Linked DNA regions of Canis lupus familiaris. The protein of the gene in region 6 interacts with the protein of the main gene of each other region in a biochemical or structural test. Links are inferred from orthologs where the notes say so. Each region holds a gene or a part of one and is shown on either strand. Other genes may lie near its edges. The genes, in order: PMEPA1, NDFIP2, WBP2, MAP3K2, PPARG, NEDD4 and ESS2.

Region 1 (4,175 bases), on a different chromosome or scaffold from region 6:
CTGGAGCAAAGCTTCCCATTGCCACCTTCAGGCTCATCTATAAAGCCCGAGCCGGCCAAGGCTCCACCCAGCTCTGAGATTTGGGGCAACTGTACACCACCCCAGGGACCCAGCACTGTTCCGGGGGAGGGGAGCCACCGTTGGCATGGAAGCCTCCAGCCAGACTTGGGAGGGCAGAGGCCCCATCTTGAAAGATGGTAAGCTTTTTAAATTTCAACCGTCCAGATCTCATTTTTCAGATGAGGAAACTAAGGCGATTTAAGGAACCAACCAAGGGCCACCTGGACAAGGCCCCGCAGCCCAGCTCCAAATCCATCTCTGACGTTCTGCTTGCGAACAACCCCCCAGCTCGTATCACATGAAATGTGGCCTTTCTTCCTCACTTCAAATTTTCCTCCCCATCTTTTTTGTATAAAGAAACTCCAGGCCTTCAGGCTTCCTCACCAGACCCTTTCGGGGAAATCTGATTAGCACTTGTAACAAACTGTTACATTATACCTGCATTTGAAAGATCATTTCCCTTCCTGCCCTGGGCTTTCTTCCAGTAAGTAGGGGGCCGTGTGTAAAAAATACACTGTGCACGGTGACTCATGTACCACCCTGGGGCCAGCTGGAGCAGGCCAGGGTTCCAGGCGCTAACCTCCAGGGCCCAGCTCAGATGCCCGCCTGGGGGAAGCACACGGGTTGAAGGCGATGGATTTAACAACACCTTGGTGTCAGCCAAAATACCATCAGGGCTGAAGAGCCTAACGAGGGACAGGAATAAGAATGAATTTAAAAAAAAAAGTCCTGAACACAAAGGAAGGACAAGAGCAAAATGCCTGTGTCCAGTCCTCCTAAAGACAGATTCCATAGGTTCAACACAATAGCGGGGACCCCTGGGGTGGGGAGCGCCCTAAGGCAGCTTTACAGAAGAGGGAAAATGAGGCACCTCGGGTACTTAAACAGCAATCCGTTTAGCACCGGCGAGGCTCTCTCCAAACATGTGCGAACATATTTTAATAATATCCTCGTGCATTTCATTAGCCTCCTGAGTTCATAAAGGGCCTTTGGGAAGCAATCTGGTTTAATGCAACTCAGTTCCGCACATGCTGGCTCTGGGCAGGTTCTCCTGGCACCTCGCTGGCCTGGCGCAGGGCGGCTTGGGGGTTGGGGGTGGGGGGTGGTTGGGGACAAGCAGGCTTTCCATCCCGGGGCTGGAGGGAGGGGACGCTCACGGATGGAAGGACCCACCACTCAAGCTGGCCTGCCTGCCCCGGCAGGGCCGGTCACGGGTTATTTTTACCTCTTGTGCCTCACTCTACAGGCTCAGGGGCCACGCACTGTGGCAGCCGCCTGCGGAAACTGGCTTATGAGTCACCCAGTGACTGCCCTGCTCAGTGGTGGCCGCCTCTGGCTCCTGGTCCCAGCTGGAAGAAGGCTGGCCCTGGCAGGGGAGGGCTGTGTGCTCCCTTGCCTCGGTGCTTAGGGGTGAGGGTAGGGAAACCGAAGCCCAGAGAGGTAAGACCCCCCCACACACACACACCAAAGGATGGGCTGGGGGTGGGGGGTGGGGGGTGGGGGTACAGGCTAGACGGCGCTCCACCCAACCCAACCTCTACCCGAGTGGGGTCCGAATGGCGGAAGTAGAGGCTTATTTGTCTCAACTTCTGGGTGCACAGGGAGAGTTGGTGCCAAGCTGCCAACACCCCCTCCCCACCCTCGGTCTATCTCCTCCTTTCAGGGCCAGGCGGTCCCAAACACAGACAGCCCCAAACTTTGACTCATTTGTAACCACGGTCCCAGCCAGGCTGAGCCAAGCTGTCCAGACAGAGGCTATTTATAGGTGCGTCGGGGACACAGACACTCACACAATGAGACACACACTCCAGATCCACCTTGGGCCAGACCCACCGGCGCGGAGCCCTGGATCCAGACACCTGGGCACAAACGGTCCCCAAGCCCCCAGAACGATGCACACGCTCCGAAGAGGCACCCCGACCGGGCCACAGGCAGGGGCGCAGGAAGACTACACATGCCCGGGACAGACTGCGACCCAGACACACAGACACAGAGAGCCACGGAGACGCGCCAGACCCAGACAGAGACACACAGACACGCACGCTCCACAGACGCGAGGAAACCCACTCGCACAGACCGAGACAGAAGCGCCACGCACACTCCAGACACACACCCGGGGCCCCAGACACCCCGCAGGCCAGACAGCGTCTCACACGCCCGCCACCCCCTCCCCCTCCCCCTCCCCCCGCCCCCCCCCCCAGCCAAAGTTGATAAAGAGCCGGCCTAATTGCTCCACCGAGACTGCCCCTCGGGGAAATAAAATGGAAACTTCGCGGACCCGGGCGCCCCGGCCCTCCCGCGCCCCGCGCCCCGCCGCCCTCCCGGCCGCTCGGCCCCGGGTCCGAGGCCCCTCGGGCGGGGCGCGGGCAGCGGGGGCCGTGCCAGGCTCGCCGCGCCGCGGGACAAAGCCGGGCCGGCCGCCAGCTGCCGCGAGCCAGGAGGGCGCGCCCCGGGCGCAGGGCGCACGGCCCGAGGGGGCGCGCACGGCCCGGGCCCCCGCCCCCGCCCCCGCCCCCGCCCGCGGCTGCGGCTGCGGCTGCGGCCGGCCTCGGGGTCCCAGCCCGACGGGGCCTCCGGGGAGGGGGGCGCGGGGTCACTCACTGATCTCCATGCTCTGGAACAAAGAGCGTTTGCAGTTGCACGTGCAGGAGACATTGGGCTGCCCGGCGGCGAGGGCGGCGGTGCTGTTGGTCCCCATCAAGCGGTGCATGGACGGCGCGGCGGCGCGGCGCGGGGCGCGGGGGGCGCGGGGGCGGCCGGGGGGGGTTCCGGCCGGCGCCCGGCGCTCGGGCCCCGCATGCAGGAGGCGCGCGGCGGGGAGGGCGCACCCCGGCTCGCCGGGCTCGGGGCGCCGCCAAGTTCCCGGGGCTCCGCGGGGCTCAGTGCGCGCGGCCGCGCTCCCCTGCGCCCCCCGGCCGCCCCTCGGCAGCCCCGGGGGCGTCGGCAGTGCCCGCGGGTGGCGTCCGGGAAATGGGCCGGCAGCCGGGGCGCGCGCGGCCGCCGGGGCTGAGCCTCCGCCGCTGGCTTCCCGCAGCCGAGCGCCTCCGCCGCCGCCGCCGCCTCCTCCTCATTCAAGTCCAAGGAGATCGGGTTTCGCTCCGAGACCGCGGTCGGAGGCAGGCAGACGGTCTGACGTCAGCGCTAGACGGGGCTGCCGGTTCCCACCGCGCGGGGGCCGGGGAGGGGGCGCGCGCTGCGCCAATCCCCGCCGAGGTTCCCCCGCACCCCCTTCCCGGGCCGCGGGGCGGGGTGACGGGGAAGGGGGCGGGCTCTTAAAGGGCCAGAGCGAGGCGGCCCGCGTAGACCCGGGGCCGGCGGGGCGGGGGGCGGGGGGCCGCGCAGCGCCTCCGCCCCTCCTGGGGCCGGTTGGGGGCCGGTGGCCCGACCGGGGCGCCCGGGGAAGCGCGGCTCGCCGGCACCCTCGCCCCCGCGCGCTGCGGGTGCGTCCTGGGTCCCCGGGATCCTCGCCCCAGGTTTAGGGGAAGCCTGTCCTCTCCCAGAGCAGGTCCCTGGACTCAGGGCACGGGGAACTGGAGAAGATGAGGGGGGTCCCCCATCACCCGTTACCTAACACCGAGGCCTCTAGTCCCCTGGCGCCCCCCGCTGCGCACTTTACCCCGACCCCAAGGAGGTCGCCCGGGGAAGGCTGGAATTCGTGTAGACACGCCCCGGACGGCTCCGAGAAACGCCCGGGAGCCCTTGTCATGTAAATACGTGTCCTGGGACTCGAGTTGCGACCCGGCCGGCAGGGCCGGGGGCGAAACCCCTGCGGTCGTCTGCTGCCCCAGGGGCCGCCGGCTGGGGGGCGCGCCTCCTGAGTTCAAAAGACGGGGGCGGGGGGCGGGGGGAGGGGGAGGAAGTGCGGGGGTGTCCTTTTATTTCATTAAGTTTTAATTACACAAGTGTTACAAGAACACATTCTCCTGGTTTAAAAAGGAACGGAGCTATTACGTCAGAGGTCCTCTCCCTGGCACACCTCCAGACTCCACAATGTGGTGTGGCCCCTCCTGGACCTCTGCTCCAGTCTCTATTTTGCATGCGCTTGGGCAGCGCCTACCTAGTGCCAGGAACTCGCCAAATAGGAACTCAACCTGGTACCTACTCCCCGAGACGGG
Region 2 (3,500 bases), on a different chromosome or scaffold from region 6:
ATAATAACCATTGGACACAATTAACTTCAACTATTTTGAGGTTTTTCTAGTAATAACTTTTTTCAGGGCAGGGATTGTGCTTTATCTTTGTATGCTAACATCTTAACACATTTATGCTCATGGTGGGAATCCACTTCACATTTTTTTAAATGAAATTAGAAAAAGAATCCGCCAGGGGGCTGTTCTTACACTGGCTCAGGTTTTAATCATCTCAGAAGAAGCCAAGTCATGTCGCACCCAAGAATCAACTGATTAATAACCAAAATCTATAATTTGGTCTGAACAGAGATGAATGAGGTCTGATAAAATTACTGAAACTCTGGGAAGCCATAACTTCAAAAATAATGAAGAAACACATTAAGTCCAATATTAATTTTTTAAATCAATTTGCTGATGTAGGTACATAACTGAAGTGTCTGAAGCACTTAAGAGAAGCTGACATTAAGTATGTGATTCTACTGAATATTTTAGGAGGATGTGACTCACTCATTTAGAAATCAATGTTTAAATAAATATGTTTGTAGAAATTAAGCATTTTATCAATTGTATAGTAGCATGTAAATATGTGGGTTACTTTTAAGAAAATTCATTAAAAAAATAAATAAAATCACTCTTTTTTTTCTTTAAGGTAAGCCCAATGCAGGGCTTGAACTCATGACCCTGAGGATCAAGATGTGAATTGAACTGAGATCAAGAGTTGGATGCTTAACTTACTGAGCCATTCAGTGCCCCCAAACCATTCTTGATCATTCTCCTAGGTCTAACATAAAGAAATTAGGGAAAAGGCTTTGTAACAGGAACCAAAGGATCTAAAAGGGGCCTCCAAGAGGCAAAGGTAAAGAGTGGGGGAAGACTATGCAAACAGGGCTACTGCCACTGGAATGGTTACAGAAAATTATTTTGGGACAAACTGTTGATATGGGATAAAGACTTAGCATTATCTCCCTACACACCATGTGGTAAGTGCTAAGAAGTAGATAAAGGGTGAATTCCAGGAACAACAGGGAAATAAGAAAGGTGGAAAGGGAACATAACAGAAAATGGGTGAGTTCAGATAGACACCTCACAGGTCTTAGTTTTTTGAGCTCTCAAAAAAGAAAGAGTGAGAAGATGAAATTAAGTCCTTGAGAATTTTACTAACCAACAGAAAATGTTATGTTTTACCTGATTTTAGGCATGTGTGCACTGTATCACAGCAGATGCAGCCACAGCTTACCAAGCACCTGTATTTGTGCAGCAACTAGGCAAGTGCTTTAATTATATTACTGCTAGGCCTCACAGAAATCCTGAAAGGCAGCTAATACCAGCTTATTGGGAAGAAATTCTCAGAACAATTTAAAAATTTAAAGTTAGGACACTGATATAAGTAAGATTCAAACTCAAATTTTTTTCTGATTTCAAAGCTCTTTCCATAGTAAGCTCTCATATAATAAAGCATCAAAATGTTAACACAGAGATCACTACAATAAGTATAAAAGATAAGCCTCAAAATAATTGATTCATATATGTAAAAGGAATATTTATGAACCACACAAGAAATTTCATAGATTTTAATTTTAGAGATCAAAGTGATAGAGGCTATTAAGACACTCACCCTAACAATAAGGATCCATTTGATCAATGAAAGTCCAAATCCACAGATGGCACCATACCTTCCAGCTATGGTATTGGTGATACAGAAGGATAAACAAAATCCAAGCCAGTTGAAAATAAATGCCACTAAAAGCAAGAGAAATAGTTCTTTTAAGGACCACACTTTGGAAACAAATTAACAGAGACATAATATTAACAATACTTCATTGCACAATGGAAGTAAGAATTCCCTTTCTTTTGACTTTGTACCAATTAAATCTTCTTTATAGGCCGTAGTTTACCTTTTGCAAATATATTGGTTATTAATTACACATTAACAAACAGATAAGCTTGGTTTCTTGTTAGTCTGGTCAACAGGAATCAATTCCTTAAAACTTATCAATAGGTAAAACTGCATTTTTAAACCAGCTAAAAATCAAGTCATAATGTAGCTCAGCTCCCATGTGATCCCACCCAAGAATTCCAGCCTAAGCAATCAACTAACTAAACTGGATTTTTTAAAAAGCAATATTAAAGATAAGCCAAACAAATTATAAAATGTTTCCAGAGGAGGTACTGTTCATTGCCTCTTCCTATCTAACAAAACCTACTTTTACCCCTTTTCTGGAACCCACCCACCAACAGAGTCTTTATTTTAAGGAAGGCTAGATCATATACTTAACCCCAAAAGAGAGGGGTCCTGAGTAGTCTGGGAAAATCACAGGAGCCCCTGCCACTTTTTTTTTTTTTTTTAATAGGACTTTGAAATGCATTCTTTGGTTCTTAAAAACACATCAAGGAGACAGAGGATGGAATATAGGTTAAATAACAGTGGCTCTAAATTGATCATTGTTGAAGTTGAGTGATAAATACATACAGGTTATACTCCTGCCTAGTTTGAGAATTTCTACAATAAATGTTAAAAAGAAAAAAAAAATCCCCCTTATCCACTGGATTTCTAATTTGAATATAACACCTGGAAATGCTGCAGGGATTTTGCCCTCAGCCAGAGGATTAAAGTATAACTCCACATGGGCTAGAGAGTGTGAAGAGAAAGAAAAGCAGAGCCACAGAACTAATACTTGCTGTGGCTGAGTCTGCTTGTCTATCCCCTTGTCTATGGATTTTCTGTTTTGTGAGATAACCACCTATTTAAAACAGCTGAGTAAGGGTTTTCTATAACTTGTAGCAGAAACCATTCCGACACAGGTCCTTGAGATATCATCAGAATGCGCTATCTGTGTGTGTCTAAGATAATAATAGAAATGATAATAAAAGTGAAAATCAATTTGAGCAGGACTTTGGTCCTGTTCAGTGCCCATCCTCTTATCCTCAATATCTCTAACTAACCCTCAGGGAAAACATAGAGAAATGCTGATTTTTCAGGATTCTGAAGACAAAGAGGAAACATTTTAGAATAAATTTAAATAAAATAGCTATTTATTCAAAGCAATTTTCCTACTCCTATAATTTCTTCCTTCCTAATGCCTTCTAGGCACAGCTTTCTTGATCATTTATAGTAAGCTATATTATATGATACAATAGGAGAATGCATTTTGAAATTAAGAGACTTGTGTTTGAATCACAATGTGACATGTATCACTCACTAGATACATGACCTGGGACTCACTGCTTACTTCTGTGAGCCAGTTCTCTGATCTGTACGATCTACTTCACAAGGCTGATAAGAGGATTAAGTGAGATAATGAATTTAAAGGGCTTAGCACAGTAAAGAACCTGGCACAGTGATTGCTAAGAAATGTTAACCATTATTAGTACCCATATTTTTTATACAGTAGGTTATATCTTTTCCGGAAAAAAAAAAAAAAAACACAAAAAAAATCAGGAGATGCTACTGGAAATAAAACTTGCTTACACTCAATTTTCTTTTTTCTTATACTAGATGCTGATTTTGCTATCTTCTACCT
Region 3 (3,116 bases), on a different chromosome or scaffold from region 6:
ACAGTAAAACGTCTCGGAGTCCAAAGAGCTGTGTCAAGATGTCCTATCCAGGCTCCAGACAGGGTAACCCAGCCTCTGAGATACAGGCCACAGTGACAAGCTAATGACAAGCTTCCTTCCCAATTCCCAGCCTCGGTCGGCCCGGGGCCCAGAGACTTAGCTTAGTAACAAAAAGTAAACAAACTCAAATGAACAAACTAAAACCCACAGGTTTCCAATATATGTTTTCACCCCGCACTTTCAGAGCCGGGATACCTTGAGATGCCACCTGTAGCATCCGCTGTCCAAACTCGATGGCGCCCCCTGCCGTAAAGGTCAACTTGTATGACGCAGCGCCTTCCCAGCCACCTGGGAGGGGAACAGGGCATTACTGGCTCAGGAAAAAACACAGATTACAGCTGAAGAGATGGCTCTGTTCCCTACAGGTCTCCTTCCAGTGCCCGTGGGGAGAGGGCTGGCTCTGCAGTGCCTGCCTTCCCGCCAGGCTGCTTCTGGTGCGCTGCCCACACAGCATGTGCCCGCTGCAGGCTGGCCTGTCTTCTGCTCCTGCCTGCTTCACTCTCTCGAACAGGGGGCTTTTCTTTCTTGGAACTTGTTATCCCACCCCCAGCTGTATAAGTTCCTCAGCGAGAGCCTCCCACTCATCAATGAGGCAGCTTCCCCAGAGCAGGTTTCCTCAGCAACAAGTGACATTCAAGTTCAGAGCATCTCTCTCCTCCTGAGGGGCCTAAGGATGGGCCCCCCGCTCCTCCAGCCTGGCTTCTGCCAAAGGGGAACCATGAGTCTCTAGAGAGCAAGGCCACCTGGCTGGGTGGAAGGGGGAGGCCAAGTTTAACACAGAGGTCTCTGGTGTCTGCAGAAGAGCCTGCTGCCAAGCAGGGCCTCTCCAGGAGGCAGAGGGGCCGCTGGCTCTTCCTGGCTCTAGAAAAGACCATTCCTGAGGGACGCCTGGGTGGCTCAGTGGTTGAGCGTCTGCCTTTGGCTCGGCGTGATCCCAGGGTCCCAGGATCGGGTCCGACATTGGTTTCCCCACACAGGGCCTGCTTCTCCCTCTGCCTGTGTCTCTGCCTCTCTCTCTGTATCTCTCGTGAATAAATAAATCAAATCCTTTTTTTTTTTTTTTTAAAGATTTCATCTATTCATGAGAGACACAGAAAGAGAGAGAGGGAGAGGCAGAGACACAGGCAGAGGGAGAAACAGGCTCCATGCAGGGAGCCCGACGTGGGACTCGATCCCGGGGCTCCAGGATCACGTCCTGACCCAAAGACAAAACGCTCAACCGCTGAGCCACCCAGGCATCCCAAATAAATAAAATCTTAAAAAAAAAAAAAAAAAAAAGACCATTTCTGAGAGTCTGACACGTCGTTTCCCATACCTAGAATGTGAACATGCTCCCCGGTTACGGTAAGCATTTATTTTTCAGTCATTTGGCTGATTTCACTCTGAAAAGGTGACATGAGCTGCTTTTAATGTCAGGATTTCTTAGCTCTTGTCATTCAAAAACCCACCCCTGCTGACCAGCTCGCAGCCCAGGGTTGGGTCCTGGAAGCCAATCCAGAGCCAGGAGGAAGAGGATATCTCCGAGACAGTAGAGGTGTGCCCCAGCACCTCCCTGAGAGCCCATCTGTGGCCCTGAGCCCCCTTCACCCACCTCCTGCTTCAGCTTTCACTGTTCCCTTGATGTAGTTTGCACCAAACACAGGCTGCTTGATCTCACAGTCCTTCATCAGATAAAATGGCATCATGAAAGACTGCATGGCATCCTTTCCTTTGGACAGAAAGATAACCTGCACGGAGACAGGAAGAGAGCCTTCAGTGGCCACACCACGGCCAGCCCGCTCAATTATCACTTCCCAGCAGCCCTAGGGCACACTCTGCACCAGACACTTCCGGAGAGAGCTCTGTAAGTGAGAGGGCCTACGTGCGGCCTGGCTGGAGAGGCTGAACGTGGGTGTTCACGAGACAAACACACCACTCACAGGTCACATGAGAGGGACAGGCTGCTCTGCCGTTTAAGTGGTGGCTGTGGTACGCAAGTGAGGGGAGCTGTAAAGCTAGGGCAGGGGGGCAGGGTAGGGCAGTGCTGACTTCCAGAAGGGGGCTGGGAGGCATAGCCTGAGCTTCACAGAACAGAGTGAAGGAGAGGTAGGGGGTGTTGGGTCCCAGGAGAAGGGGGCTGCCCAAACTGCAAGTCTCCCAGCCTGCACTTGGAAAACTACGTTTTAAACCCTTCAATCTGTGACTGAAGATGCCACCAGAAAAGGGGTTTTGAGGCTCCCTTGTCTCTAAGTTGCGGTGATGAAAACCTTAAAGATATGCCGCTCTCTTCCAACCATCTTTAAATCTAACTCTTGGGACGCCTGGGTGGCTCAGTGGTGGAGCGTCTGCCTTCGGCTCAGGGTGTGATCCCGGGGTCCTGGGATCGAGTCCCATATCGGGCTCCCCGCAGGGAGCCTGCTTCTCCCTCTGCCTTTTTGTCTCTCACGAATAAATACATAAAATCTTAAAAAAAAAAAAAATCTAACTTTTGGTAGCTACAAGCAGTGAACCTTTTCTAAGAATGGCCATTTGTCTTTCTCTGGAAGACTCTCAGTCGGCCTGGCTCAGTCTCAGGCAAGGCCCATCCTGCAGTTGGGCACTTCTCGCTCTGCAGGGCTGTGCTGGGCTTTCCGCCCAGACTGGAGGCTCCGGCCATGCTACTATGTCCTGTTTTCCGTACTTGTCACTCTGGATGTGTACAAAGGCCTTGTGGGCCCTTTCTGCTCTCACAGAAATCAAGGTACAACAGCCCCCTGCTGCCCCAGGCCCCAGTCACCCCAGCTGCTGCACACAACAACATAGATTTTACAGTAGTGGTTCCAGAATTTTCATGGATTCAATGCCCAGGGGTTGGTTCAGCTGCCCACAGAGTCTGCTGATTCTAGAACCTGGGAGCACATGACAGAAACATGGGGAGGGCTGGCCACAGGTTCAGGGGCCACTGGACCCATAAGGCTGAGGCTGACATAAGACTCACATCGGCCTCCAGGAACCATGGGCTTGCAAACCCACCATCACTGTGCAACTCACCCGGTAAGGAGTAAGGTAGACGGTGCCTTTCTTGGTCCCTTTGAAGG
Region 4 (3,500 bases), on a different chromosome or scaffold from region 6:
AGATGCTCAATCACTGAGCTACCCAGGTACCCCCATCCTACTAAATTTAATGAGAAAAATTATATAGCATCATTCACAAACTTAGAAATTCAGTAATGTCTAAGATGATGTACATCTGGCCCATATATGCCTATGCTTGGCATATGTGTAATTCATTTTAAGACTGATGAACTATTATTAATTTAGTAAAATGATTTCAGTGACAACCTATACTTTGAAGAGATAGCTGCCTTTACAAAACCAAGTAAAGTTAATGAGAAACATGAACTAACATCTCTCCTGAATACACCACCTTAGTCTTAAGATTCCTAAATCTATAAGATTACTCATCTCCATTTGTGATGTAAATCAGTTCTAGCCAATTAAACCATTTAATCTTATCTTCAATAATGTGGGTCTCTATTCACACTTAGAATTAATTTTTCTTTTTTTAAAACTATTTTATTTATTTATTCATGAGAGAGACAGAGAGGCAGAGACACAAGCAGAGGGAGAAGCAGGCTCCTGATGTGGGAATCGATCTGGGGACTCCAGGATCACACCCTGAGCCAAAGGCAGACTCTTATCTGCTGAGCCACCCAGGCATGCCTTAATTTTTATTTCTAATTCAGATATTTATTGCCCAAACAGTAATGGAAATCTAAATAAAAGAAAAATCAATCATAATCTCAACATAACACATTTTCAAGTTTCTTGGGTCCTTGTCCAAATACAGATATTTTTAAAATAGCCTCATTACTATTTAAAAGCATTTTATATTCTTTTTCTTACTTCTTCCAACTTTGCTACATAGCCTTCGTGATTTTAATATATTCTCTTGGGCAATGCCATCATAATTTACTTTCACTGTGAGTACTGATATTTCCATCACAAATTTGTTTTCCAAAGGTACTTAAAAAACAAACTAATTTACTTTGTCAACAGGATCTTTGAAAATACAAAGTAGCAGTGATGTGTAACTATAAACAATTGTGTCACTATAAAAAATTAATTAATTATTCATGATAATAAGAAAGTAAACTTAACTGTTGATCTTATGAAACTGGATGATTAAGACTATGACTATCAGATACTGATCCATAGTTTTACAGATCCATAGCTTAAACTGCAACCTTGTACATGAAACATACAATTCTAATAAACAATCTACTTAGGGAAACCTGCGTGGCTCAGCGGTTAGCCTGCTTCTCCCTCTGCCTATGTCTCTGCCTCTCTCTCTCTTTGTACCGCTCATAAATAAATAAAATCTTTTAAAAAAATCTACTTAAAGACCCATAAATCAAATCAGGTAATATACCATATATACTACCAATTAAATTATACGAATGCATGTATTTTTAAATGAGTAAATATACCACCATCTTGAAAATCATTAATACTAAAATGTACTCTACAAATACTAAAAACAACATAGAAGGAATGACAGTTTGCAAGTCACATTTTGCAGCTCCTACCGAAACTACTGACTCAGGCAATGATTACCAATCTGTATTAAAAACCTGGAAAAGGATGGTTTGAAAAGGAACTGGAAACTGTGTTCTTTTTATTCTTTAAAGATTTATTTATTTGAGAGAGAGAGAGAGAGAGCACGTGAGTATGTGAGTTGGGGGAGGAGCAGACGGAGAGAATCTTCAAGCAGACTGCCCACTGAGCATGGAGCTGAATGTAGGGTGCAGGGTTTAATCTCACAAGCCCTGAGATCATGATGTCAGCTGAAACCAAGAGTTGGACACTTAACCGACTGAAATACCCAGGCACCCCAGGAACTAGATAGTCTTATGTGCTAATAGCCCAGATTACTTTCTGGTCCTCAGGAATAAACAAAACCTTACATTGGAGAAATCTGGATGTTGATCATCCTAACCTAGCACTCAATCTTTGCATCACTAACAGTAGAACCATTAGAAATTGTATGTCTCCTAATGCGATGCAACACGAGATGCACAGCATCATTAGAATGCATCACAGATGCACCTAATAAAAAATGCTGAATCTTAATCTAATTTAGATATTAGATCTAACTTGGAGTTTATAGGAAATAAGAGAATAAAGGAACAAATTAAACACTACCATGAGGATGCAATTAGAGAAATCTATGAGAGGAGATTGTCAACAGAACTAGCCCAGTCTCTTTGTCAAACCTATGTCATGTAAAAAATGTTCTAAGTTAAAAGAGAAGTAAGAGGCATAACAGTTAAAGGTAATGTGTGGTCCTGGGCTGGATCCTGGTTTGGATAAACCAGCTATTACGGTTATTTTAAGAGCATTTAGGGAAATCTGAGTATGGACTGCTATGGTACCTATAACTTTAGTATACCTCAGCTTTTTTTTTTTTTAAATGAGTTAAGAACTACAAAATGAAGATACAAAAAAAAATTATATTACATAGCTCTAATTTAAAACTTTCAAAATGTCTTTAAAGTCCTTAACTACTTTACATTTTATAATCAGAGTTCTGTTGTTTTTCTTTCCTCAACTAAGACTTTAAAGAGAAAATGTCTATTTTTAAAGGACATAACAACTTACCCCTGGCATATATTCCATAAATATGGAAAGTGTTTTTTCCTGGGGATCCCTCAAACAGCCATAATACTGAACAATTCGCTCATGCAGCAAGTTTTTCAACAACTGAATTTCACACTCAAGTGCATTTACTTCCTGAAAGACAGAACTCACTGTTAAGTCTTTATAGCATTGCTAGTTAAAAGGAAAACATTTGAACTTCATGGACCATCGAGGTGATTTCATTCTGAAATTTTTACTTCCCAAGGAATAAACATTTTAAAGTCTCTAAACAGTAACTTTTATAACAGTCCTTGATGGTATACTAAAGCAACCCTAAATTAGATAGGAACATTACGGAGCACTAAAAGAGAAAAAAAAAATCACAGTACAGAGTAAACAAATATATCTAATTATATATGGATTTGTTTTGCAAATAATTTGTATTAAGAAAAAACAAAAATTCTATTGTGTTATATTTAGTAAAAATGCTTTTTATAAATGTGACAAAGTAGCTTGTGCAGTGATTCTTACCTTGCTGGTCTCAGGGCTATCAGGGTCAAACTGAACTTGCTTAACTGCCAATTCTCTTCCTGTATCGACATCATAACAGAGGTAGACCCTGCCAAATGCTCCTTGGCCAAGCAGTTTGCCCAATCTCCAGTTTGTTGGAGCACGAGGTGCTAAAAAAGAATGTTTTCTTAAAATGGAATAGCCAGATGGCACACAAATAGTTACAAACTAAATGAGTAAACTGTATTAATGATATCCTTAACTGAATACACTTGGATATAAGGGAAAATCATAATCATCCAAATTCATAATGATCACCACTTTGTAAATTTTCCAAGAATTCTAAACACAAATAAGGTTCATATATCCCCACATCTTTTTTCCAGTGAGATTATATCTGCTCCCCATTAAAAATGTAAAGCATCTTTCACTGAATCCAAGGTACCACTGATTGTCAGATGCACTATTTTTAATCTTTACTGCAG
Region 5 (4,226 bases), on a different chromosome or scaffold from region 6:
ATATTTCCATTGCTCAATCAGCTCCAAAGGACAAGCATGTCATCATCTTTCAATGCTCTGGTGCAACACTTTAAAATTATAGAATTCACACAGGACTAAGTCTGGCACTAAAAGCAGGAGGCATATTCAGCTTCAGTTTGTGGAAGCTTCCCTTCAGTCTTGCCAATTTTTACTAGTGGAAATGGTTTCAGAGCCAGAATGGGGTTACTTGGGGTTACTTGAGAAGCTCATGATGAAAATAGGGGAATAAGATAAAGGCAGGAGGTCACTGTGATAATGGAGCCCAGGAAAAGCACAGAAGTCCTCTTTGGGCATAGTGGCTACATAAATTTTTGAATCTCATGAATATGACCCATATGGCTTGGACATCTGGATCATTCACACTCAACAAGCCACTTTTACTTCAAAGTAGCACCGAGCTACTTGCAACAACCCCCAATCCCACCTTGTCTAAAGAAGAAGGAGCACCTAAATTAATTACTGTATTAAAGCCAAGTACCTAAACTCTACAGTGTTTCATCTCTGATAGGCTCAAAGAGCAAATGACGATTATGTCTAAATTCTTTTTTTAAAGATTTTATTTATTTATTTGACAGAGAGAGAGAACAAGCAGGGGGAGCAGCAGAGGGAGAGGAAGAAGCAGGCTCCCCACTGAGCAGGGAACCCGAGGTGGGGCTCCATCCCAGGACCCTGGGACCATGACCTGAGCCAAAGACAGACACTTAACTGAGTCACTCAGGCCCCCCTATATGTCTAAATGCAATTGAAGTTAACAATCATAGGTGTTTGGCCTTTAGGAATAACATTTTCAACAGAAAAACAACATGAATAAGAAGTAATCAGAGACCATATAAACAAAAGTTAAATAATTGGCACAATATGTCATTTCTTAATTGCTATTAATTTTATTCTGTACTAATTAAGAAGAAAAGTACTGAGTTATTCCTTTGAAGGGGATTTGAGACTCAAAACAATTAGGCCCTGGGCAAATCCAAGACATAAATATATAGAGATCAGTACAGAATGAAAACTAACTGGAATCACATAACTATCTCTTACCATAAACAGTATTTTTCCTCAGTTAACCTAAAATATTTATTGCACTACATTCTGAACACATTTTTTGCAAACAGACAAAATTATCAAATTTTGACTCAAGGACTATTTCACATCTATCCTGATATCAGCAGGCTAAACTAATAACTGGAGAAAGATAGTAATAATTTCTATGGCTTTTAGAAACAAAGAATAACATATTTTTATATAATATAATGAAACCAAACTCATATTTAAGAGGCTCAGGTGACAGATATATATATTGAATCAAATCACCCTAAGAGAATGAAATAGTATTTCAGGAAATATTTTTTCTTAATTTTTAAACAGCCAAGTGTTTAAGCAAAAAACAAGTGATTAGTATGTTCAAACTTCAGGCTTCCAGAAAAATTAACACATTGAAATGTAAAGGCATTCATTTCAACAATGAAGTGACTTAACTGTAACACTTCAGCACTTATTTTATAAAACACAAATCACACTAGTTAACACAATCTATTTTTACATAGTATCTATGAGAAAAAATAACCAGAAATATAGAAATAAATATGAAACAGTACAAAACAGAAGAAGCTGTGCTAAGAAACTCCAGTAGAAGGAGCTGTAGAAATGAAGAACTTATATTTTGCAATGGTCAAGAAAGGAATTTTGAAAAATGAGGTATCTGCTTGAATCTTATATATTTGAGTGCAAGTAATAGCTAATCATTTACTTAGTATGCAATAGGCATTTAGGGATGTTATTTTCTTTGTGTGTAAAATGAAATGCTTGGAATAGACATTCTCCGAGGCCCCACAATCTATTTATTCTATAATGCATTAGGCACCATGCTAGGTATCCTAAGAAATCTAAAGAAGATTATAAGCTGGTTTTACACTCAGTGTACACTTCTCTGGAAAGATAACATGTACAAATATCTAGATTTCAAAGTAGAACAAAAACATGTTGAGAGAGCTTTAAGAGGAATAAAAATGCTGTGGGAGGGATAAAAGCCGCCTGAGAGATATGTACCATAAGACTATAAAACGGGAAAAGGGACACTCCCCCCACCCCAGGTATTCTAAAAAGACCTTAAGTATATTTAGGAAAATATATAGGGACACCTGGGTGGCTCAGCAATTGGGCATCTGCCTTTCTCTCAGGGCATGATCCCGGAGTCCTGGGATCGAGTCCCACATCAGGCTCCCCACAGGGAGCCTGCTTCTCCCTCTGCCTGTGTCTCTGCCTCTCTCTCTCTGTCTCTCATGAATAAATAAATTATTTTTTTAAAAAGGAAAATATATAAAACTAGAAAATAAAAATGAATAGGATCTTTAAAAATATAAACATACCTTTAATGCTTAAAATTCAGGAAATGGGAGCTATGCATAGAGATAAATATGGATTAGCTTAGGCTTCTTTTTCAAAGCTCTGATGCTTATAAGTGAACACAAACACAGCAAAGTAGACATTAAAATAGTGGCCTAGACACAACTCATACTAGAATGTAACTTGGAAAACAAACGACAAGAGCAATTTTACCATTCTATAAATGCCCAAAGTAACCCAAGAGCCGTATCTGGAGTTGACTTTACCTTGTGAAGTGCTTGCAGACAGTGTATCAGCAAAGGAGTCGCTTTCTGGGTCAATGAGAGAATCTCCCAGAGTTTCACCCATAACAGCATGGAAGAGGGATTTTCTGTAATTCACACTGATATTTTGTCTATTTCTTGCAAAAGACCAATCCATTAAAAGAAAAAGACTTGCAGTAGTAGAACTTGTGAACACAACCAATGAGTTAAGACATCAGTTTCCAAATATTTGGGAGAGGTGGGAATAAATCCACAAAGGACTAGGCCTGAATTGGCTGGTACTGTCCTGTTAGAGAGCCAGCTGTGACAAATGTTGTGTCATGATGTTGCTCACTGCTTTGGCAAGACTTGGTACATTACAAGGAAAACATTGCCACACTGTCTCGCCAGTGACCCACATGTTCTGTGTCTTGTGAGGGGTGTGAGTTGTACAGTATTTAGAGCTATCGGAGCAAAGAGATTGTTCAATTTTCAATTGTTTCTTAAACTTTACATCTCTGGGTTATGAAGTACCAGATAAACTTACTTCAACAACATTTTTTTGTAGCTGCCCATCCCTGGTTGAATCTCTAAACTGTTATTATCTGAAGAAAACTATTTAATTAAAACATGTACTTGTATTTTAAAGTTTGGCATCAGCATGCTGCTGAAATGTTATTTTCTGAGGCATTTGTTTGCCAACTTTAGAAAGGCCAAAATGATACTAACAAATTCTATAAAATTAAGTAGTTGAGAGATATAGTTTAGATGTCGTGTATCAGGGTTTGCTTTTTTAGTCACTTGATTATTAAGTTTATCCATCACTAGGCAAAGGCAGTACTGCTGTACCCATGTCTGAACATAGCAGATGTTTAAATGATAAATGCCATGTCATAATGAAAAAAAGTGGAGTTCTCTCTGAGAAGAATAATGTATTAGCCAAAAAAAAAAAAAAAAAAATTGACTCACACTGATAGGTTGGCGAGGAACTGTGGTCAGTTTTGTAATCAGGAGAAAGCTGGCTTCTTGCTCAAGTCCTTTGCCCTTTTTGGCAAGGAGAAACACAAGCCGTGCCAAACTTCAGCATGGAAGCAGGTCCCCACTTGTCACATAAGTGGCCTGATAGAATTGCAGTGACTTGTGGATGTAATAAAGATGCCCCCACTTAGGGCGATATACCAGATGGCAGTAATTCCCTTCAACTTAACCCAGTATTCTCCAAGTGGAATAAGTCTATCTATTTAATCTACATTGAGTAGCTAACTGGTCATCCTGCAGGGGAACTAACAAAAGTTTCCCTGTTAATCACACAGCAACAGCCTGGTGGGGAAAATGCTCACAGGGTCTCAACAGCACAGAATAAAGTGGAGAACTGGGCATTGATATTGCTTAAAAGCCTTTGAAAACCAAGAAACTTTTACTAAGGTAGTTCAAGTTAAAGCAAGCTCCTTGACAGTCCAAATGACTGAGGTAATTATAGGTGTGTAGAACTAGGTTATTCAGCTTGAATTGTCAATAAAGGAGTTTCTCCTTCCCTCTCAATGCTGAGAAATTTCCTTGTATTACAGACACAATCATAATATTTAAAAGTGTGACTAGTCCAACATTTTTGGTTCAATA
Region 6 (3,500 bases):
AGACCAAGCATGTCAGTTCTTATTCACACATGTGCGCTAGTGACAGGTGTGGTATAACGAGGAAGAAAAAAAGCGACCCCTGACATGCAGGACTTGGCCTGGCACCATCAGTAGAGATCAAGACAAAATGAAGACCACCTTGTAATCATGCCTGAAGACAGAGAAAACATGAATACTGTCGAAGCCACAAAATACCAAATATCTCTCCATTCTGGCAAATGTGAGTGACTACTCCTTTTTAACAAATTATAGCTTTAGCCTCGCTATACATAAGATTTGAGACACCCAATCACAGAATCACCCCTGCTTTTTTTTTTTTTAAGTAGGCACCACATCCAGCATGGAACACAATGTGGGGCCTGAACTCACCACCCAGAAATCAAGACTTGAGCTGAGATCAAGAGTCAGATGCTTAATCAAGGGTATGGGGCACCACCTAGGCGCTCCACACTCTTGCTTCTTGACAGCATCCAATGGTTCCTTAAATCTTCCTCAAAATCACCTAACATGAACTCCAATCCTTCAAGTCTTTTTTAACATACTCTTACTGAGACATTCATGGTGTGTGTTCTTGATGAAATGAGTAATAAACCCAATTTGTTTAATTGCAAGTGTATTCCTGGGGGTCTCTGGCTGGAAGGCACTGCACTGGTTTGTAATGGATATTTAGAGTCCAGTGACCACTTGGATTATCCATGACTTTGCTCCATACTGTTAGTGGAAATATTTGAAAAAATAACCATACTGTAAAGTCTTAAAGTCCCTAAAACATTATTATATGCATTTAAGACAAAATTTTTTCATCACAAGAAAAAAAAAATGTAGCTATGTGAGGTAACGGATATTAACTAGACTTACCGTGATGATAATTTTGCTATAATATCTATCAAATCATTTCGTTGTATACCTTAAATTAATCCAATGTTGTCAATTACATGTCAATAAAACCAGAAATAAAAGACAAAATTTTATGTAAATGTTGGATACCAAATGGAATAATATATAGAATATAAAATCCTGAAGCTACAACAAAATCTAAGGGCATCTTACTGAGCTGGATACTGGCTGGCTGGTGGCTGAGTTTCTACAAATTGTGAGTCTGGCATTCAATTCTTCTGCAAGATGAGTCTGAACATCCAAGTTATTTGATGCTGGAGGTGATGGGAAGGCCTGATTGCTATACATGGTGGCTTCATCTTCTCTTATAATTTCCCAGCTCTAAAATAAACAGAATAATCGTAAGCCACACATACTTTTATCTACTGCTATAATATGTGTCTATGGACAAGAACAAGAAAATTACTTCTACCTCGGAAGACTCTCGATTATCCACACTTTCTGTTTCCTCAGATATCTGCCGTCTGGTAGTAAATGCACGCTGTGCTTGCAGTTGCATGTTACCATTCTCAGCATCAGTTAGGTTGTCCCTGGATTAGAAATATAAAAGCTGTCACCCATGTCTGCAGATAGTTAAAATGATAGTCAAAGATGCTATGACCACTTTTTTTTTTTTTTTTTTGCTGTGACCATTTTATAAAATACCTTAGATCAGAATTCACTGGTTTGGGCCAAAGGCTATTTCAATATGCATAGATTAGGTCATGGGCACATTGGTATCTTCAGGGTACCTTATGGAATTAAGGTTTTATGAAAATGTGTAACACATCTGACTGATATTTTAGTTCATCACCACACCTAGGGTAATGTTTGGCATGTAAGGGCACTCAAAAATATTTGTTAAATAAATGAATATCTGAGAGTTTCATAAGTAATTTTAGTATATTATTATTTTGCCATGCTATTATATGAATAAAATCTAGAGTAGCTATAGAGAGACTATAAAAAAGAAGCTTTAAGATTTACATATACAGCTTCAAGAACCAGACAGTAACATTTTCTGGAACTGATCTTAAGCCAAGACTAGAGTTCCCTATGCATGAACTTAGAGGACAAAATGAAATATCATGTAAGAAACTTAATAGGTTACAGATTAAATAGTATCTGTTTTTGATCATTTATAGAAATGGGCCTGGTCTGAAAAACAATAATAGTAAAAACATGACTGAGTTTAGGCAAGTTTAGTAAATCAGACTGAACACCATTATCCCACTGAGTATTATTATTCTAGCTATTTGAATTTAATATAACCAGATCATCAGATCAGATTTTATACAAATATTTAATAACAAAATTATTGTTAATTTATTTAATGCCATATAAGTCCAGGGTAGTCAAAAGACCAGCTCTTACTGCACTATTGCTAAAGAAGACTTAATTTTGACAGATGGTCATAGGGGAATACTTCAGATTTTTCTCACCTGAATACCTGATTTAGGCTAGCTGAAAGTGACATCAACCATAGTGAAAGAAATGTGAGTCCGTTCAAGTCAGGCTTGCTGTAATACTAAGGTATGCAGTAGGACAATTTTGTAGAGTTTCATAGTGTCTTCAGTTTTGCAAGGTGCACAGGTCCCTACAAAGATTGATGCTTCTGTGCCATGAAGAACCAGCATCACTGATTTGGTTTGGAAGGATTTGAGAACAGAAAATATCTATGAAAGTGCTTAGACTGTGTCAGACACAAAATGCGAGAGCTAAAAATTAGAAATTAATGGACAAATAAAAATTTTAAGTCTCTGTCAAAAAGTAGACTAATGAAAGCCTTCATAAGGCTATAAGGGAGGAGAAATGGAAGGGTATTTGATAATAAATGTGAGTAATGGGACATATGTGTTTATTTATAAATATACAGTCTGATGATAATAAAAGAAAAATGTCACTGAGAAGACATAAATTAGAATACCTCAAAGGTCATTCTATCCTTGATCTGTGTGCACTGGAAATTATGTATGTATTGACCAGATTGGCAAATGAGTGTTTAACAAAAACCTTGTTATTCAGTCCTTTATATTTTACAGGTAACTTATATGTAAAAATAGTTTACTGTAGAAATTAACATTTTATTATATTTCAGTAACAAACTACAAAAATTTCCAAGAATTTCTAAACCAGTCTAAAGAGAAAAACACATCTTCTGTGGCTGCAAAATAATTTTTAAAAAGAAGCAATTAGAAGGGTGGCATTTGTGACTCAGATAATTTTGAATGTTATCAAATCATTTTAAAAAAGAAATTGTTGGGCAGCCTGGGTGGCTCAGTGGTTTAGCGCTGCCTTCAGCCCAGGGCATGATCCTGGAGACCCAGGATCGAGTCCCATGTCAGGCTCCCTGCATGGAGCCTGCTTCTCCCTCTGCCTGTCTCTGCCTCTCTTTCTCTCTGTGTCTCTCGTGAATAAATAAATAAAATCTTAAAAAAAAAAAAAAAAAGAAAAGAAAAGAAAAAAGAAACTGTTAAGGTGGCATTTTAAAAGCCCTGGACCATAAAAATCCTCATATTTTTATAGTTTATGGGTTCCTATACTATTATAAATCCATTTGAGACACAACTAACTTCAAAATGAAAATTAGTGGTCAAAAGTGTATTCAGATTACAAATGTGAAA
Region 7 (3,500 bases), on a different chromosome or scaffold from region 6:
GGGACATGGCTGGGCTCAGGCCTTTGGGGGTGAGGCTGGGGTAGAAGGGGTGGGTGAAAGAGGCACCATTAGGCCTGATCAGGTATTGCCAGCAGCAGGGCTTTCCATGGCCCCACAGGAAGATACATGGGTGATGTGTGGTCACTACTGGCTGACCATACAGCACTGTAGCCAAACTTAAGGTCAAGTAGTGGTGCTGCCTTTAGTTGTGGGGTTGGATGGACCCTGTCTCTCCAAGGAGGACAATACACCTGCTCCCACAGGGCTGACAGGTGTGCGTAAGTGGGACAAGGGGCCCTAGAGATGTGCCGAGAGGAGGCTGAAGGAAAGGACAGAGGGGCCTGCATCCTGGTTCATAAAGGCTGCGCCCTGGACCCGAGGAGCCGCCACAGGAACCGGCACAGGACCCCTGGGCCTGCCCTGCACAGTGTGTGTCCACACTGCATTGGGTGGGGTCAGGCACTTCATACCTGGCCAAGTTCTCCGTCACTCTTCTCAAGGCCTCCTGCTTCTTGGCCCGGTTCTTGGCGGCAGCCTCGTTGGCCATCTTCAGCCCCAGCCGTTCCCTGCGGCCAGGCTCCAAGATCTATGAGGCAAGTGGGTGTGTGGGTGGCCTGCTGCCAGGTCAGGCAGTCCCTCGCTGCTGGGGCACCTGCCTCTCTCCCGTGGCCCCCTGCGATCCTCACAACCCATTATTGCCTCCCTAAAAGCCCCCGGAAGGCCCCTGACCAGCTTGGTGAGCTGCCCACCCGCAAAGGCCCAGGCCTCCCACCTGTCCTCACAGTTCCCCACAAGCCAGCACTGCCAACTTACGAACCCGACAGTCTTTTAGGAAAAAGGCGGTCTGGTTTGAATCTGCTTTCCTCTGATTACCAGAATAAACTGCCTGTTGACTTTAACTTCCATTGACCTTCTCTATTTCTTTCCAGAACTTCCCGAAATAGATCCTTGTCTTATTTTTCTATTAAAGTGCTTGCTTGGGATCCCTAGGTGGCGCAGCGGTTTGGCGCCTGCCTTCAGCCTAGGGCGCGATCCTGGAGACCCGGGATCGAATCCCACATCGGGCTCCCGGTGCATGGAGCCTGCTTCTCCCTCTGCCTGTGTCTCTGCCTCTCTCTCTCTCTCTCTCTGTGTGACTATCATAAATAAATAAAAATTAAAATTAAAAAAAAAAAAAAAAAAAGTGCTTGCTTAGGGATCCCTGGGTGGCGCAGCGGTTTGGCGCCTGCCTTTGGCCCAGGGCGCGATCCTGGAGACCCGGGATCGAATCCCACATCGGGCTCCCTGCATGGAGCCCGCTTCTCCCTCTGCCTGTGTCTCTGCCTCTCTCTCTCTCTCTCTCTCTGTGACTATCATGAATAAATAAATAAAATCTTTAAAAAATAAATAAATAAAGTGCTTGCTTAGGGGCAGCCCTGGTGGCTTAGTGGTTTAGCGCTGCCTTCAGCCTGGGGTGTGATCCTGGAGACACCAGATTGAGTCCCACATCGGGGTCCCTGCATGGGCCTGCTTCTCCCTCTGCCTGTGTCTCTGCCTCTCTCTCTCTCTGTCTCTCAAGAATAAAAAATAAATAAATAAATAAATAAATAAATAAATAAATAAACAAATAAAGTGCTTGCTTTCTTAAGGTTTTACTCTAAGTTAATGTTACATTAAGCTCTGCCAAACAAACTCCTTCTCAGTTATTTGCTTTCAGTGTCATTCATGACTTTTTTTTTTTTTTTTTGCTGTACTTAAGCCTACACCTCACATGGTATCACCTACACCTCGCTTCCATATCTCTTCCATGATGTCTCTCTTTGCTTTACTCCTTCCTACCTTTATCTCAGATTAAACATTGACTACTGGGCAGCCCGGGTGGTTCAGCGGCTTAGCACTACCTTCAGCCCAGGGCATGATCCTGGAGTCCCGGGACTGAGTCCCACATCGGGCTCCCTGCATGGAGCCTGCTTCTCCCTCTACCTGTGTCTCTGCCTCTCTCTCTCTCTGTGTCTCTCATGAATAAACAAAATCTTAAAAAAAACAAAAACAAAAACTAGCACTTAGAGATGGGAGGTTTAAAAAAAAAAAAACAACATTGACTATTATTGTCTTCTTATTGTTTTGTATTTACGTTTTCTGTACTTAACCCTTCCACTTCGGGAACTCATTCTGCCGTGCGTACCAAGCACTTTATGTCCAAATGCTCTTGCTCAGCACAGCTTGAACGGTCGTCTCTCAGGTACCCTGAATTCGGATTTGGACTGAGGTTTGTTCATGATCTCTTCCCTGTTGCCTGGTAGGCTCCAGGACCAGGGGAAGACCTGTGATATCCCCACACCCCCAGCGTGCCCTGACACCTGCTGGCACAGGCTCCTCTCCGGTTTTTCTTGGTTATCCTCGGGTCCCAGACAAATTTAAGAACCAAGGTGCCAAAATCCTCTGCATACATTCTGTCTGGATGTGTGTTCCTTCTCTGAACGAGAGCAGTGCTATTACGGGGAGGCAGCATAGTGTGGCCCACACTCTCTGATTTTCCTTACATAAGCCTGTAGCACTAGCCTGTGGTTTCTTTATGAAAGCTAAGTTACTGCTAGTTAGTCCGAACTTCTTCTGCTACAGTGAATGAGATATTTCTTGTCTTTTCTTTTTTTTTTTTTTAAAGATTATTTATTCATGAGAGACACACAGAGAGAGAGGCAGAGACACAGGCAAAGAAGCAGGCCCTATGCAGGAAGCCCGATCCTGGGACTCCGGGATCACGCACTGAGCCAAAGGCAGACGCTCAACCGCTGAGCCACTCAGGCGTCCCAAGATCTCTTTTTCTGTTGCATTTCAAACTACACACTGCAAGTGTTTAGAGGAACCAGTTCAAGACAACCTCTAGCCTAGCTCCCCACGCGGCAGACCTACATTAATGGCAGGTTCCATGCCTAACCCTTTGGGATTTCAAAGCAGATGATGTAACCCCACACCCTTTGTTCTCTGCAACAACACTGACTTCTGCCTCCTGCAATTTCCTAGCAATCCAGGTAGGGAGTGTTGGCCCAGCACCCTGAGAACAGGACTGCATGCTCCCAGCTTCCAGCGACTTCTCTTCCTTCCTGTTCCAAACTACACCAGTCACTCAGTTTCCCCAACAAACTGTGTGTATACCGGAGCACCTTGCCTTCCCAAAGCCTCTCTGGGGCCTGCCTAGGCCACTCGATCTCCACAAACCACCTGGCACCCAGCTTCCCCACCCTACCTGGTCCAGGCCTCATGAAACACCCCCTCTGACAACTTCTACAAAACTGGTGCCTCCTGGTTCATGCTCTCTAACCGGAGGCCTCTCTCTGCAAGCACGCAATCCTTCTGAGGACACAAACCACATCCCATGGAAAACTGGGGTTCTAGGGCCCTTCCCACCCCACAGGCCTACAAGCTCAGAGGGCCATAGCTTTGGTGCCCTAGCCCCACACCGGAGTCCCTCCCTTCACCCACACCTGTGCGCAGTGCTCTGGTCTTATTCAGAAGTGCAG

What was found.
Region 1: the proteins of NEDD4 (region 6) and PMEPA1 form a complex in vitro, tested with the Homo sapiens proteins (2 studies listed by BioGRID, with this or other methods). The link is inferred for Canis lupus familiaris from reciprocal best matches to the Homo sapiens genes NEDD4 and PMEPA1.
Region 2: the proteins of NEDD4 (region 6) and NDFIP2 form a complex in vitro, tested with the Homo sapiens proteins (3 studies listed by BioGRID, with this or other methods). The link is inferred for Canis lupus familiaris from reciprocal best matches to the Homo sapiens genes NEDD4 and NDFIP2.
Region 3: of the proteins of NEDD4 (region 6) and WBP2, one has a biochemical effect on the other in vitro, tested with the Homo sapiens proteins (6 studies listed by BioGRID, with this or other methods). The link is inferred for Canis lupus familiaris from reciprocal best matches to the Homo sapiens genes NEDD4 and WBP2.
Region 4: the proteins of NEDD4 (region 6) and MAP3K2 form a complex in vitro, tested with the Homo sapiens proteins (2 studies listed by BioGRID and IntAct, with this or other methods). The link is inferred for Canis lupus familiaris from reciprocal best matches to the Homo sapiens genes NEDD4 and MAP3K2.
Region 5: of the proteins of NEDD4 (region 6) and PPARG, one has a biochemical effect on the other in vitro, tested with the Homo sapiens proteins (2 studies listed by BioGRID). The link is inferred for Canis lupus familiaris from reciprocal best matches to the Homo sapiens genes NEDD4 and PPARG.
Region 7: the proteins of NEDD4 (region 6) and ESS2 interact in a test that uses a peptide from one of them, tested with the Homo sapiens proteins (2 studies listed by BioGRID and IntAct, with this or other methods). The link is inferred for Canis lupus familiaris from reciprocal best matches to the Homo sapiens genes NEDD4 and ESS2.

What each region holds. Positions count from the first base shown.
Region 1 is NC_049245.1:43,400,093-43,404,267, forward strand, and holds the start of PMEPA1 (protein TMEPAI), read right to left. Parts: upstream 2,801-4,175; 5' UTR 2,771-2,800; coding exon 2,662-2,770; intron 1,501-2,661; exon of another isoform or gene 1,386-1,500; intron 1-1,385. UniProt on the Homo sapiens protein: Functions as a negative regulator of TGF-beta signaling and thereby probably plays a role in cell proliferation, differentiation, apoptosis, motility, extracellular matrix production and immunosuppression.
Region 2 is NC_049243.1:32,872,612-32,876,111, reverse strand, and holds part of NDFIP2 (NEDD4 family-interacting protein 2), read right to left. Parts: intron 1,720-3,500; coding exon 1,595-1,719; intron 1-1,594. UniProt on the Homo sapiens protein: Activates HECT domain-containing E3 ubiquitin-protein ligases, including ITCH, NEDD4, NEDD4L, SMURF2, WWP1 and WWP2, and consequently modulates the stability of their targets. As a result, may control many cellular processes.
Region 3 is NC_049230.1:5,627,245-5,630,360, reverse strand, and holds part of WBP2 (WW domain-binding protein 2), read right to left. Parts: coding exon 3,070-3,116; intron 1,788-3,069; coding exon 1,652-1,787; intron 349-1,651; coding exon 256-348; intron 1-255. UniProt on the Homo sapiens protein: Acts as a transcriptional coactivator of estrogen and progesterone receptors (ESR1 and PGR) upon hormone activation. In presence of estrogen, binds to ESR1-responsive promoters. Synergizes with YAP1 to enhance PGR activity.
Region 4 is NC_049240.1:24,633,169-24,636,668, reverse strand, and holds part of MAP3K2 (mitogen-activated protein kinase kinase kinase 2), read right to left. Parts: intron 3,186-3,500; coding exon 3,037-3,185; intron 2,659-3,036; coding exon 2,527-2,658; intron 1-2,526. UniProt on the Homo sapiens protein: Component of a protein kinase signal transduction cascade. Regulates the JNK and ERK5 pathways by phosphorylating and activating MAP2K5 and MAP2K7. Plays a role in caveolae kiss-and-run dynamics.
Region 5 is NC_049241.1:6,278,951-6,283,176, forward strand, and holds the start of PPARG (peroxisome proliferator-activated receptor gamma), read right to left. Parts: upstream 2,801-4,226; 5' UTR 2,713-2,800; coding exon 2,631-2,712; intron 1-2,630. UniProt on the Homo sapiens protein: Nuclear receptor that binds peroxisome proliferators such as hypolipidemic drugs and fatty acids.
Region 6 is NC_049251.1:21,460,888-21,464,387, forward strand, and holds part of NEDD4 (E3 ubiquitin-protein ligase NEDD4), read right to left. Parts: intron 1,428-3,500; coding exon 1,310-1,427; intron 1,219-1,309; coding exon 1,051-1,218; intron 1-1,050. UniProt on the Homo sapiens protein: E3 ubiquitin-protein ligase which accepts ubiquitin from an E2 ubiquitin-conjugating enzyme in the form of a thioester and then directly transfers the ubiquitin to targeted substrates. Specifically ubiquitinates 'Lys-63' in target proteins.
Region 7 is NC_049247.1:30,206,461-30,209,960, reverse strand, and holds part of ESS2 (splicing factor ESS-2 homolog), read right to left. Parts: intron 587-3,500; coding exon 471-586; intron 36-470; coding exon 1-35. UniProt on the Homo sapiens protein: May be involved in pre-mRNA splicing.